3 linked regions of the Schizosaccharomyces pombe genome follow. Changing the gene in region 1 together with any one later gene gives a genetic interaction. Each region holds a gene or a part of one and is shown in the gene's direction. Other genes may lie near its edges.

Region 1 (3,624 bases):
GGAAACTTTTTTAATCGTTCAAGTGATCTATGTGCGTTTCCTTCTTTTCCTCGCGATCAGAGTTATGTAGTAGAGGTTGTTATTGAGGACACTATCACCAAGCCCTTTGTTTCTTTCCAAACAGCTATGCTCCATACTACTTGTAACGGTGAAAGACGGATTCGTGTACTGACTATTTCTCTTCCTACTACCAATAGTATGACTGATTTATATGCATCAGCCGATCAAGTTGCCATTGCACAATATCTTACTGTCCGGGCTAGTGAAAAGGCTCTTTCTTCTACGTTGAACGAAGCCCGTGATAGCATTATAAGTAAGCTTGTAGAAATTTTGGAAGTTTACAAAAAAAATTTGGCTGGACAAAACACCGGTGCTGCGATCCCGCTTCAAATAAGCACCAATTTAAGACTATTACCATTGCTTTGTTTAGCATTGACGAAGCATACTGGATTCAGAAGATCTAGTCATATCTCATCTGACCTTCGTTCTATTGCTCTATGTTATTTAAGTACTCTGCCAACTCCTTTACTAATGCGTTACATTTATCCAACTCTTTATTCTTTGCACGATATGCCTATTGAAGCAGGAACTGTTACAGAACAGGGTGTAGTTCTCCCTTCTGCGTTAAATCTTACTTCAGCTTTGTTGCAATCTTTTGGTTTATATTTGGTTGATACACACATTCATCAATTTTTGTATATTGGTAAAGATGCAGTTCCGCAGCTACTGATAGACGCATTTGGTGTAAACTCTCTTGCGGATTTGAAAGCTGGACGTTTTACAATGCCAGTTATAGACAACCCACTTAACGTTCGTATCAATGCGATTCTCGGTAAACTTCGTTCGTTGGATAAAGGTTCAACTATTATGCCTAGTCTTTACCTTGTACGTGGTGATGGTGATCCACAATTGCGCTCATGGTTTTTCTCTCACTTCGTCGAGGATCGTAGTGAGAACTCTCCCAGCTATTTACAGTTTTTGCAGACTCTTAAAGAGAAAGTTCGTGACTAAAGGCTGTAAAATCTGGCTACTTTCTACAAAACTTTTTTAAATTGATTGTTCTGATGGTAATATATGCCTGAATTAGTGACATGATTAATTAATAATATTCAATATGGTTAAACATTCTTTGGTTTTTTGTATTTTTAAGAAAAAAAAAATTTAAATAATTGATCTAGTAAATATACTTGGTGCTTTTTATATTGATGAAAGCTATATATGTATCAAACTAAATTAGGTATTTGCGTACATGTAGCTTCCAGCCAGCTTGTACATAAATTTTAGCTTTTATACCTTGTCTATTTTCATATTACTTGATGTTGAAGTTGTTCCAAGAATAACAAAAGGTTCTAATAATTTAATTTAATTCATTACAATTGAGTTGCAGTGTATAGATTTTCAATTTCGCACTTTAGAGCTTCACATCTTCTATTTAAAGCATAAAAAAAATATTAAATATTTATTAAATTTCATTTTCATTGCAATTAGATTATATATCCAGGCGAGTATTCACTTATATTGAAAAACTAATTTAAGAATGTAATTTTGCACTGCGGTACTAGGTGCTTGGCAAGTGGTAGAATTTTGCCTTCTGCCAAGCACTCCTAATTGTAGTAATTAGATTAGAGAGTCGAAATCCTATTATTTTAAAAAGATGGGAATCAAAGAGAGGAATGCACCTTCTCAATATAAACAATCATCTCGTAAAAACAAACGAGCATGGAGGAAAAATATTGATTTGGAGGATATCGAGTCTGGTCTAGAGCAGACTAGAGATGAGGAAATAAAAGGGTATATTAGTTTTTGCATTGTATTAATTAAAAATATTTTTATTAACTTAAAACAGTGGAAATGTCGAGCACAAGCCGAATGATGCTTTATTTGTAATTGACACTCTTGGTGATGATAGAATTGCAAAAAGAAGCAGAAAAAAAATTAAACCATTAAAGGTTGATCAAATTCTTGAAAATAAGTCTTCCATAGAAAAAGTTCATTCTCATTTAACGAATAATTCAACTGAAAGCAATAAGAAAGGAAAAATTTTTTCTAGAAAAGAACTAAATAGACTACAAGCTTTGGTGTATAAAAATAAAGATGGTTTAACCGCAACTTCTGCTGCTAGTGAGCTCAAAAATACCAAACAACCAAAGGAAAGTTATGATGTTTGGGAAACAAACCCAACAGTTACTATACCTGTTAAAAGACCTTCTACATTATCTAAACTACCCGAATCTTTAACTGAGAATAATGCAAAAGTCCCAAATGTTGTTATCGCTGATCCAGGAATGTCATACAATCCTGACGCTGCAGCTTGGATGAAGCTACTTGATACCAAAGGTTCAGAGGAACTTAAGAAAGAACAGAAAAGAATTAGTGAATTAGAGGAAAAGGAAAGAATACAGAAGAAAGCTTTTGAAGACAAGGGATTAGTTTCAGACCAAGACGTTAATCACAGCATTGATTCTGATGACCAGTCTGAACACGAACAAGCAGAAACTCCGATCCCTTCTTCGAAGAACAAACGAAAAACCAGGTCTCAAAGAAATAAGATACGCCAAAGAAGAGAGGAGGAGCTTAGATTACTTGAGCAAAAGAAAAATGAAGAGCTTCTGAGGACGATCGACAAAGCTCCTGCAATATCCAAAAAACTGCAGCAAAAGGATAAAGCTGAGAAATTCTCTAATAAGGCTGTTTCTTCTAGCACAACTGAAATCAAACTGAAGAAGAAAAAATTCGGTAAACATCGATTGCCTAACAACCCACTTGAAATAAAGTTGGGAGATGAGCTGACTAGTTCCCTTAGAGAGCTGAAGCCTGAAGGAAATTTGTTTGCCGATCGCTATTTAAGTTTACAACAAAGAGCAATGGTTCCTCCATCTTTGCCAGTATTGAAGAAATCAAAGTATCGTGCAAAGATCAAGGAAAAATATAGTCACAAAGACTTCCATCTTCAAAAAAACAGTATATAAAATATATTTTAGCTAGGGTATAAATTGGGGTTTTTTTTATTTTCACTTACAAATAATAATTAATACTTGAATAATGTATGGAGCTTAACAATAATACTGTCATATAGATTAACTAATGTACACTGTAGATAATAATTTAAAGACGAAACTTGTCTCTCTTGCTTTGTGTTTTCTGTCGTTTCGCAGCACCAACCTTCATAGCCTGCTCAGACACCAACTCCGAAAGCTCATCTTGCCAATTAGAACTTTGATTTAACGCAACATCTCCTTTGTTGGTTGATGAGAGCATGGAATGTGCATTCCTTTTTTGTGGAAGAGTATCTTCAGCGGTAGGAATGTCGTATTGATGCTGAGGACCCATGAAACCTGAGATATTAGTAGATTTTTCAGGTAAAACTTGATATAAGTCTCGATTAGCAGCATCACTACTTGGTTGAGTATTTTTTCGTAATTCAACATTGTCAACCTCTACATTAGATTGATTAAAATACGTTAAGGGCTCTGCATGCAAATCTTCCCTCTGTGACCTAGGCTCTGACGCTGACTGATATTCCTCAATCGTTTCACGTTCAGTAATTTCTTCAGTAGGATATTCTACGTCTTCGCTCTCTTCCTCTTCACTAGATTCTTCTTCCTCAAACTCCTCCAATTCACC
Region 2 (3,315 bases), on another chromosome or scaffold:
CTCTTCCTTTTGATCCGAACGGATCAAAAGTCGTGCTGTCCACATATCGTTGTATTTCCGTCTGCTAGAATGCATCATCAGCAATCTAGACGTATCTTCTTGTTCTCGACATCCTTTTCCAAAAATTTTTAATTCTGAAATCTATCAGCAACTCCCTTAAACTCAAAATATCGATTCCTTTATCTTGAGGAGCGATGGATGGGCTAGAAATTTTGATTCAATAGGTAGGTTTTTTTTTTTGCAATTGCATTAGTAACTGTTTGGAGGTAAATTGAAATAACAAGCATTACTTAAACCCTTTGCCTTTTTTTTTGAATCTTTTTTTTTAAAAGGAATCGTTTGTAGAGTACTTTGAAACTGCAGCCTTAATTCAACGTCTTCTTGACTACCTTTATTTTCCAAATTATGCGAACCTCGCTTGCATGCGACTATACAAAAAATAAGGAAACCAGTCTCGCATAAAATTAAATTTAATTTTAATCTTCAAAGCATCTCGATTTCGCGGACTAGGATCCTGGATAAATGCGTTGAAACTAAGCCGATGGGTTGTAAGAATATGGGAAAAGCTGCAATGTATCACATTGAATAGTCAATTGAAGGACATGGAGCTTTGAGCTTGTTGAATGAATAAAAGTTTTTGATGAATAAACGTTATTAGACATGATTGTATTTATCGGGTTTCGACTTTAAAAGTTCAATCAATTAATGAAAGACGTAAAAGCTGGACGTTTATTGAATAATCCAAAAAAGGTTATTTTTATATACTTTTAAAAAGAAAAAAAATAGTATTTAACGGATATAAACATGTATTGGTTCATGTACTTGCTTTACTCTGATCAAGTTGGTGTATGCTTTTTGGTTTCCATTGCTCTTTTTCTGATTATAATGCAAAATTACTCATCGTGTTTGCAGTTATGTTGAATAGCTTTAAAATTTACGTATCGTATTGTCAAGGTAGTAAATGTAAACAAAAAATTTTCATAGGGAATCATTACCAATTCGCTTACAGAAATTAAACATATTACACTCACTGTATGATGAAAAATAAAGTAGATTTCGAAATAAGATTATTAGAGTGAAGAGAATTTTAAATTGATATGTGAGAAACAAAACTCCGTCATAACTAATCTTTACAGTTGAAAATCCAATTGTGAATCCCTAGCATGTTTGAATTAATATGTGCAGTAGTCTAAAAGCAAGTTTGACACGTTGGTTTTTGAACAGGTGGTGAACAAAATAAATCTCGAGCGTATGGTTGAGACTATTTTATTATTTTTATATTAACTTTATCATAAGATGTCTATTCAACTGACTCGTAAATTCTGAAAACTACATGTCTTAAGAACCTGAAACAGTTTTAATTGCATTTGAATTTGGAATTGCATTAAGCCGACCCTTTAAGAAATTAAATATAACACTAAGCATACGTTTATTTCCCACAAGGATTATACATAGTTAAACAAAACGAGAAGTCAGTCCCCACGCACTATATGTTGGTAGAAATTTTACATGAAATTTTGATGCATTACAAGATTGATTAAATGTAGCGTGTAACCGGCTAACAGGATTCAAATGTATTAGTAAATGGAATCGGTAGTAGATTTATCTTTCTTTGATCACGTTTTGACATAAATCATAACTTCCGGCTTGTCGTCAGCTAATCGAGTAAAATTTAGTTGAATCCACGTATGAGTCTAATGTATGATCGATTAGTAAGTTGGATGAAATTGATCAACTCGATTTCGGGTGTTTTCCAAAATTTTTCATAAATATTGCATACGCAATGGAAGTAAGAATTGTATATAAAATGGTAAAGATGCTCTTTATATTTTAATCCATTGCCAAACTCCTTTCATTTAACAATAGAACACACTCAAAATAAAGTATCATGGCTCAATTCACTTTATGGTCGCATGCTCATGGTCCTAATCCATGGAAGGTGGTTCAAGCGCTGAAGGAGTTGGACCTTACCTATGAAACCAGATATGTGAATTTTTCAAAAAATGAGCAGAAATCCCCCGAACACTTAGCCTTAAACCCTAACGGTAGAGTACCTACCTTGATTGATCACCACAATAACGATTATACCATTTGGGAATCTGATGCCATTTTAATCTATTTAGCTGACAAATATGATACGGAAAGGAAGATATCTTTGCCTCGTGACCATCCTGAATACTACAAAGTTATACAATATTTATTTTTTCAAGCTTCTGGCCAAGGCATCATTTGGGGACAGGCTGGATGGTTTAGCGTCTATCATCAGGAGCTAGTCATATCTGCCATTACCCGTTATAGGAATGAAATCAAACGTGTTCTAGGAGTCCTCGAAGATATCCTTAAAGACCGTGATTATCTCGTGGCCAACCGGTTCACAATTGCTGACTTATCATTCATTTCATGGAATAACTTCCTTGAAATTATTTTTGCAGAAGGAAAGTTTTCAATCGAGGAAGAAGTGCCTCAGCTCGACTTTGAAAAAGAGTTTCCTAGAACTTATTCCTGGCATCAAAGACTTCTTGCCAGACCTGCTAGCAAGGCTACCTTCGAAGAAAGATCAAAGGCTTTGGATAATTAAGTGAATTTGTGGCGTCTATCTTGATAATAACGTTCCAATATTTCAATTGATTGATTGATTCTTTATATTTCAAAATTCATGCATTGTTTACTTTCCTTTATGCATATAGATATAGACTCAACTTTTTCGTTTCATACATCAATTGTTCAAGTGCTCTTTCAATAATATCATCTTTAAACTATGATTTTCTACTATACATTCCGAAAATATATACAAAGCAGACCATGTAACATCCATCGTATTGCTCTTGCTAAAATTGGTATTTATTGTTTGGAAAAGCCAATCATCAAAAGTAAAAAATATAAAATGAAAGAAGGGATAGCTGTAATCATGTCGAAATGACTTGAGGCGCTAATTTTATTTTATTTTTTTATTGTTACTATCTTTTTATTTTTCTTATACTACAAGACCTTTTTTATTTTTTTTTTTTAAATAATGTCGTCAATTTATTGAGAAAAGTTCAATGATTTTATTAAATTTTTAAGTAAATTATAAATATTATGTCTAAAACAAAAGCTCGAATAAATAATAATCAAATATTGTTTTCTTTATATGTTGGGCAGGCTTGTCTTATATTTTTTATTTTAATTATTCTGAATATTGTAAATAAGATGAATTCAAATACTCATGAACACAAATATAATGTAGGGTATGAAGAAGTGATTCATTATCGAATTTAGAAAGGTCCTAATATAAAAAACAAAGAGAAAATCAATATAAGCAGTCGCTGTATATTA
Region 3 (4,307 bases), 2.7 Mb from region 1:
GGCGTTACTGACTATGAATGTTACCCGTCAAGAAGCTGCTGATGCTTTGCATTCTGTTGGTTTTACTGCGGAGATGCAGGAAAATCCTGTTGCTTCTTTATCTGGTGGTTGGAAAATGAAACTGGAGTTGGCTCGTGCCATGTTGCAGAAAGCTGATATTTTGCTTTTGGATGAACCAACAAATCATCTTGATGTTGCCAATATTGCATGGCTGGAAGCATATTTAACCTCTCAAAAGAATATTACTTGCTTGATAGTTTCTCACGACTCTTCATTTTTGGACCACGTGTGTACTGACATCATTCATTATGAAGGTGTTAAAAACCAGGCAAAAAAGCTTGGTTATTATCAAGGTAATCTTTCAGCTTTTGTCAAGGTCAAACCGGAAGCTAAATCATACTATACATTGACAGCCACAAACGAGAAGTTTGTTTTTCCACCTCCCGGTATCTTAACTGGTGTGCGCTCAAACACACGTCTCATATTAAAAATGACAAACGCTTCTTATACATATCCCAACGCGAAGAAGAAGTCATTAGATAATGTTACCGTTGGGTTATCTTTATCTTCTCGTGTTGCCATTTTAGGTCCTAACGGTGCTGGTAAATCAACGCTTATTAAAGTTCTTATCGGTGAAGTAATCCCTCAAGAAGGAAAAGTTTTCAAGCATCCCAACTTGCGTGTGGGTTACGTTGCTCAGCATGCCTTTCATCACTTGGATCAACATCTGGAAAAAACGCCAAGTCAATATATTCAATGGCGTTATGCTGGAGGACAGGACCGCGAAGTTTCAGAGAAGGAATCTCGAAAACTTACCGAAGAAGACCGTGCTCAGCTTCAGCGTGATATTACGGTCAATGGCGAACGTAGAAGAGTGGAAGCTTTGATTGGCCGTCAAAAACTAAAAAAGTCATTTCAATATGAAATTAAATGGTTTGGGAAGCCTCATAAATACAATACGTGGGTGTCTCGAGAAATATTGCTTGAAAATGGGTTTCAAAAGTTTGTACAGGCTTTTGATGATATGGAATCTTCTCGCGAAGGTCTCGGTTTCCGTGAATTGATTCCCGAAGACATCAGGGCACATTTTGAGGATGTGGGCCTTCCTGGCGACATTGCTGATTACAGCCCCATTAGTAGTTTGTCTGGCGGTCAAAAGGTTAAAGTTGTTATTGCTGCGTGTCTCTGGAATAACCCCCAGCTTTTGGTTTTGGACGAACCTACAAACTTTTTGGACAGAGATGCATTAGGTGGTTTAGCTGTTGCTATTCGTGATTGGGAAGGTGGGGTCGTTATGATTTCACATAATGAAGAATTTGTTTCTGCGTTGTGTCCTGAACACTGGCATGTAGAAGCGGGTAAGGTTACCGGTAAGGGCAAGACCGCTGTTGACGATGGAAAGTTTGAAGATCTGTCGGAGAAAGATTTGAAAAAGATTGAGGCTAAAGCTACCAAAAAGAAGAAATTGACGAGAAATGAAATCAAGGCCAAAGAAAGACGTGCTAGAGAGAGAGAATTAGCATGGTTACAATCTCCCAAGGGCACCGAAAAACCCAAATCATTCTTCTCTGATGATGAAGAATAATTTCAGACTAATTTTTTAATTCGCTCTTTGGATTGACAAGTTGAGAGTTGTTTATCCTTTAATTTTCTTTAGACGGTGCTAGTTGTTGAAGTTGGTCTTTTACATATTTACGGTTTACTGATATACCTTTTAGACTTAATTTATATATATAGAACTTGGTGGATGGTATCGTGGATAATATTAATATTAGTCGCTTTTTATATGTTTTGTTTATCGTTAGTGCATGTTATAGTTGTATTAGACGTATACACTTTTGTCATTGACTCTTGTAAAAGGTGTCAAGAGAACTATGTATTTTTTGGGTTTTTTTCTAGATATTCGTATGAAAATGTGATAGACTTTTTAATATGATTAATCAGGAAATTTCTATAAACATGCACTCAACGAAAAATAGGGTACTTAATCTTCAAGAAATAATTGGTGTAGTCTTAGTTCACCTACTCAAAGAGCCTTCAAAATAAAGGCAAAAGAACTGAACTAAGAGTTTTACTACTGATGATATAGTTCATTTAATATTAAACAGGGAAATTTTCAAACAATAGTATGGTATTGGATAAACTGTTGTACACAGGGTACAACGTCAGTACTGAATGTGGTTATTGTAAAAGTGGAAGAAAGACCGAGCATTTTGGTTTATTAGCAGAAAAGCTCAGTTGTGAAGTAAGCGTATAACTCTGCTTTTTGCAAATTTTGCTAACCTACATTTAACCTCAGGACTACCAGCGATTGATTGATTTGGGATGGAGGTAAAAACCTTTATTAGTTAACATTGCTAATATAAAATAAGACGTTCAGGACATTATTTATATAAACCCAACGGGAAAACATCTTGCTGTTCTCTTTATACAATCAGGTACTTAGCATAAGTCGCCAAATATGATTGATTACTAACCGCCGAATGTTGAAGACTCGACAGCTATAATTTTAAAATTGCAAAAGAGCAAAAGAAGGCAATAAAAAAATGGGTCAAATATGTAAATGGAAAGCCATTAAAACCTATGAAAAGCGAAATTAGCACAGATTATTTGAACAATGCCTTTCAAACTATAGAATCGCTCGGAGCTGAAAAATACTCTGTAACTATGGAGCCTTGCACTTACACCGATGAGAAATTTGAAGTCTTCAAAAAGTATCAAATGCAAGTTCATTTAGAGAAAGAAGAGGAAATCACGAAAAAAGGATTTAGCAGGTTTCTTTGCAACTCTCCTTTATTTAATGAAGACAAGGGGATAAAGTATGGTTCTTATCATCAGATGTATCGATTTCAAGGAAGGCTTGTGGCAGTTGGAGTTTTAGACTTGCTACCACATGGTGTTTCTAGCGTTTATCTGTTTTATGATCCTGATATGTCTAAGTTTTCTCTGGGAAGGATTAGTGCCTGCCGTGAAATCTGGCTTGCTCTTGAATGCGGATATCGGTACTACTACATGGGTAGGCTAAAATGTCATTTATTTAATTACGTTGATTGACCTTGCAGGTTATTATATTCACACATGTCCCAAAATGAAGTATAAGGCAACGTATAGTCCATCGTACCTGCTTAATCCCGTACGTATACATTCGATTTTAACTTGAACTAATACAAACAGGGTACAAATAAATGGATACCAATTGAAAACTTTACTTCACTTTGGAATACTGGTGCTCCTAAATATATAAGTTTCGGGGATGAAAATAATAGTGATATTCAAACTGCTGTTGACTACGATTCTTCTGAAGATTCATCTCAAAACGAAGATGATTATACACTGTTTAATCGACAGCTTCCTGGAATTCTTTCAGTAAATGTTGCTGAGTCCTTGGTTTCGGAGAATTTTGCTAACATTGGCAATTCAACTTTCCCCACAAGAGTATGTCTTTATTTTTGAGTAACAATGCTAATTCTTCAGCATGTTTTAAGTTATTTCCCTCAGGTTAAACATTGGTTTGTTGAAATCAATGCTGCTGTGGGCGAAGAAGTCGCAAAGAGTTATACACTTGTTTTATCTAGTTGATATATTATCTGTCTACGTGTTTTATTTGCTTAAGATATGAACATCCTACTTAAAAATCTTAATGAACTCCAGGATGGCTTTGAGAGTAAATTTTACAATGTGACTTACAGAATTAAGTTAATTTTATGCTACTACTTATGTGTGATAGTTTCCTCTTTTATGTCCCTTAATCGAAGTTGATAGCATTTCTAATAATATAAAATACTGCCGGCTTATATATTTATTTTGTAATTATTTATAACTGCACGCTACCTAAAATGTCACCCTAACATAACTTAGTGGGCTTTTCCGTTACGAGTTGTTTGCAACCAAACACAAAAACGGGTTTACCGGTACTTCACGACTTAATATAATCGCAAAACAGTGCATAGTAGGTGAGAAAGGATTTTATCATTTAGAGAAGAGATTTTACTTTAATTGTTCTTCTTTTTTCTTTCTCAAGTGTTACTGCTAGGTTCTCATTCTATAGAGTATTAGCAAACACCAGATTTCGATGACATTTCGTGTCAAAATTGGGTTGACTGCATTTTAAAAATAATTAATCACGGTTGGCTTACAATTCAACTTCTAGGCACTGATTTTTTCTTCGAATGCCATTTTGAAGTTATTTTACTTTTACTTTCCTAAAACAAGGTGTTGTAATAAGGGATTGTTCTTTTATCTATTTTTGTACCATTTGTATAAAGAATTCATTAATTTGCACTGTGATTTTCTTAATACAGGCTTAA

What was found. Genes that interact genetically often act in the same process or in processes that back each other up.
Region 2: mutations in rrp16 (region 1) and gst1 together harm fitness more than expected from each alone (negative genetic interaction), as found in Schizosaccharomyces pombe (one large-scale study listed by BioGRID).
Region 3: mutations in rrp16 (region 1) and ate1 together harm fitness more than expected from each alone (negative genetic interaction), as found in Schizosaccharomyces pombe (one large-scale study listed by BioGRID).

Annotation. Positions count from the first base shown.
Region 1 is NC_003424.3:4,801,525-4,805,148, forward strand, and holds rrp16 (rRNA processing protein Rrp16), read left to right. Parts: upstream 1-1,597; 5' UTR 1,598-1,654; coding exon 1,655-1,791; exon of another isoform or gene 1,792-1,846; coding exon 1,847-2,969; 3' UTR 2,970-3,060; downstream 3,061-3,624. Other genes in the region: sec24 (coincidence detector Sec24/Sfb2 subunit), read left to right, coding at 1-1,011; putative U2 snRNP-associated protein Sap145, read right to left, coding at 3,106-3,624. UniProt on the Schizosaccharomyces pombe protein: May play a role in ribosome biogenesis.
Region 2 is NC_003421.2:1,718,588-1,721,902, reverse strand, and holds gst1 (glutathione S-transferase Gst1), read left to right. Parts: upstream 1-1,832; 5' UTR 1,833-1,888; coding exon 1,889-2,578; 3' UTR 2,579-2,760; downstream 2,761-3,315. Other genes in the region: SPOM_SPCC191.10 (uncharacterized protein), read right to left, coding at 1-75. UniProt on the Schizosaccharomyces pombe protein: Involved in the oxidative stress response and detoxification.
Region 3 is NC_003424.3:2,076,552-2,080,858, reverse strand, and holds ate1 (arginine-tRNA--protein transferase), read left to right. Parts: upstream 1-2,015; 5' UTR 2,016-2,128; coding exon 2,129-2,245; exon of another isoform or gene 2,246-2,299; coding exon 2,300-2,331; exon of another isoform or gene 2,332-2,372; coding exon 2,373-2,438; exon of another isoform or gene 2,439-2,492; coding exon 2,493-3,016; exon of another isoform or gene 3,017-3,062; coding exon 3,063-3,133; exon of another isoform or gene 3,134-3,174; coding exon 3,175-3,435; exon of another isoform or gene 3,436-3,474; coding exon 3,475-3,579; 3' UTR 3,580-3,752; downstream 3,753-4,307. Other genes in the region: AAA family ATPase Elf1, read left to right, coding at 1-1,585.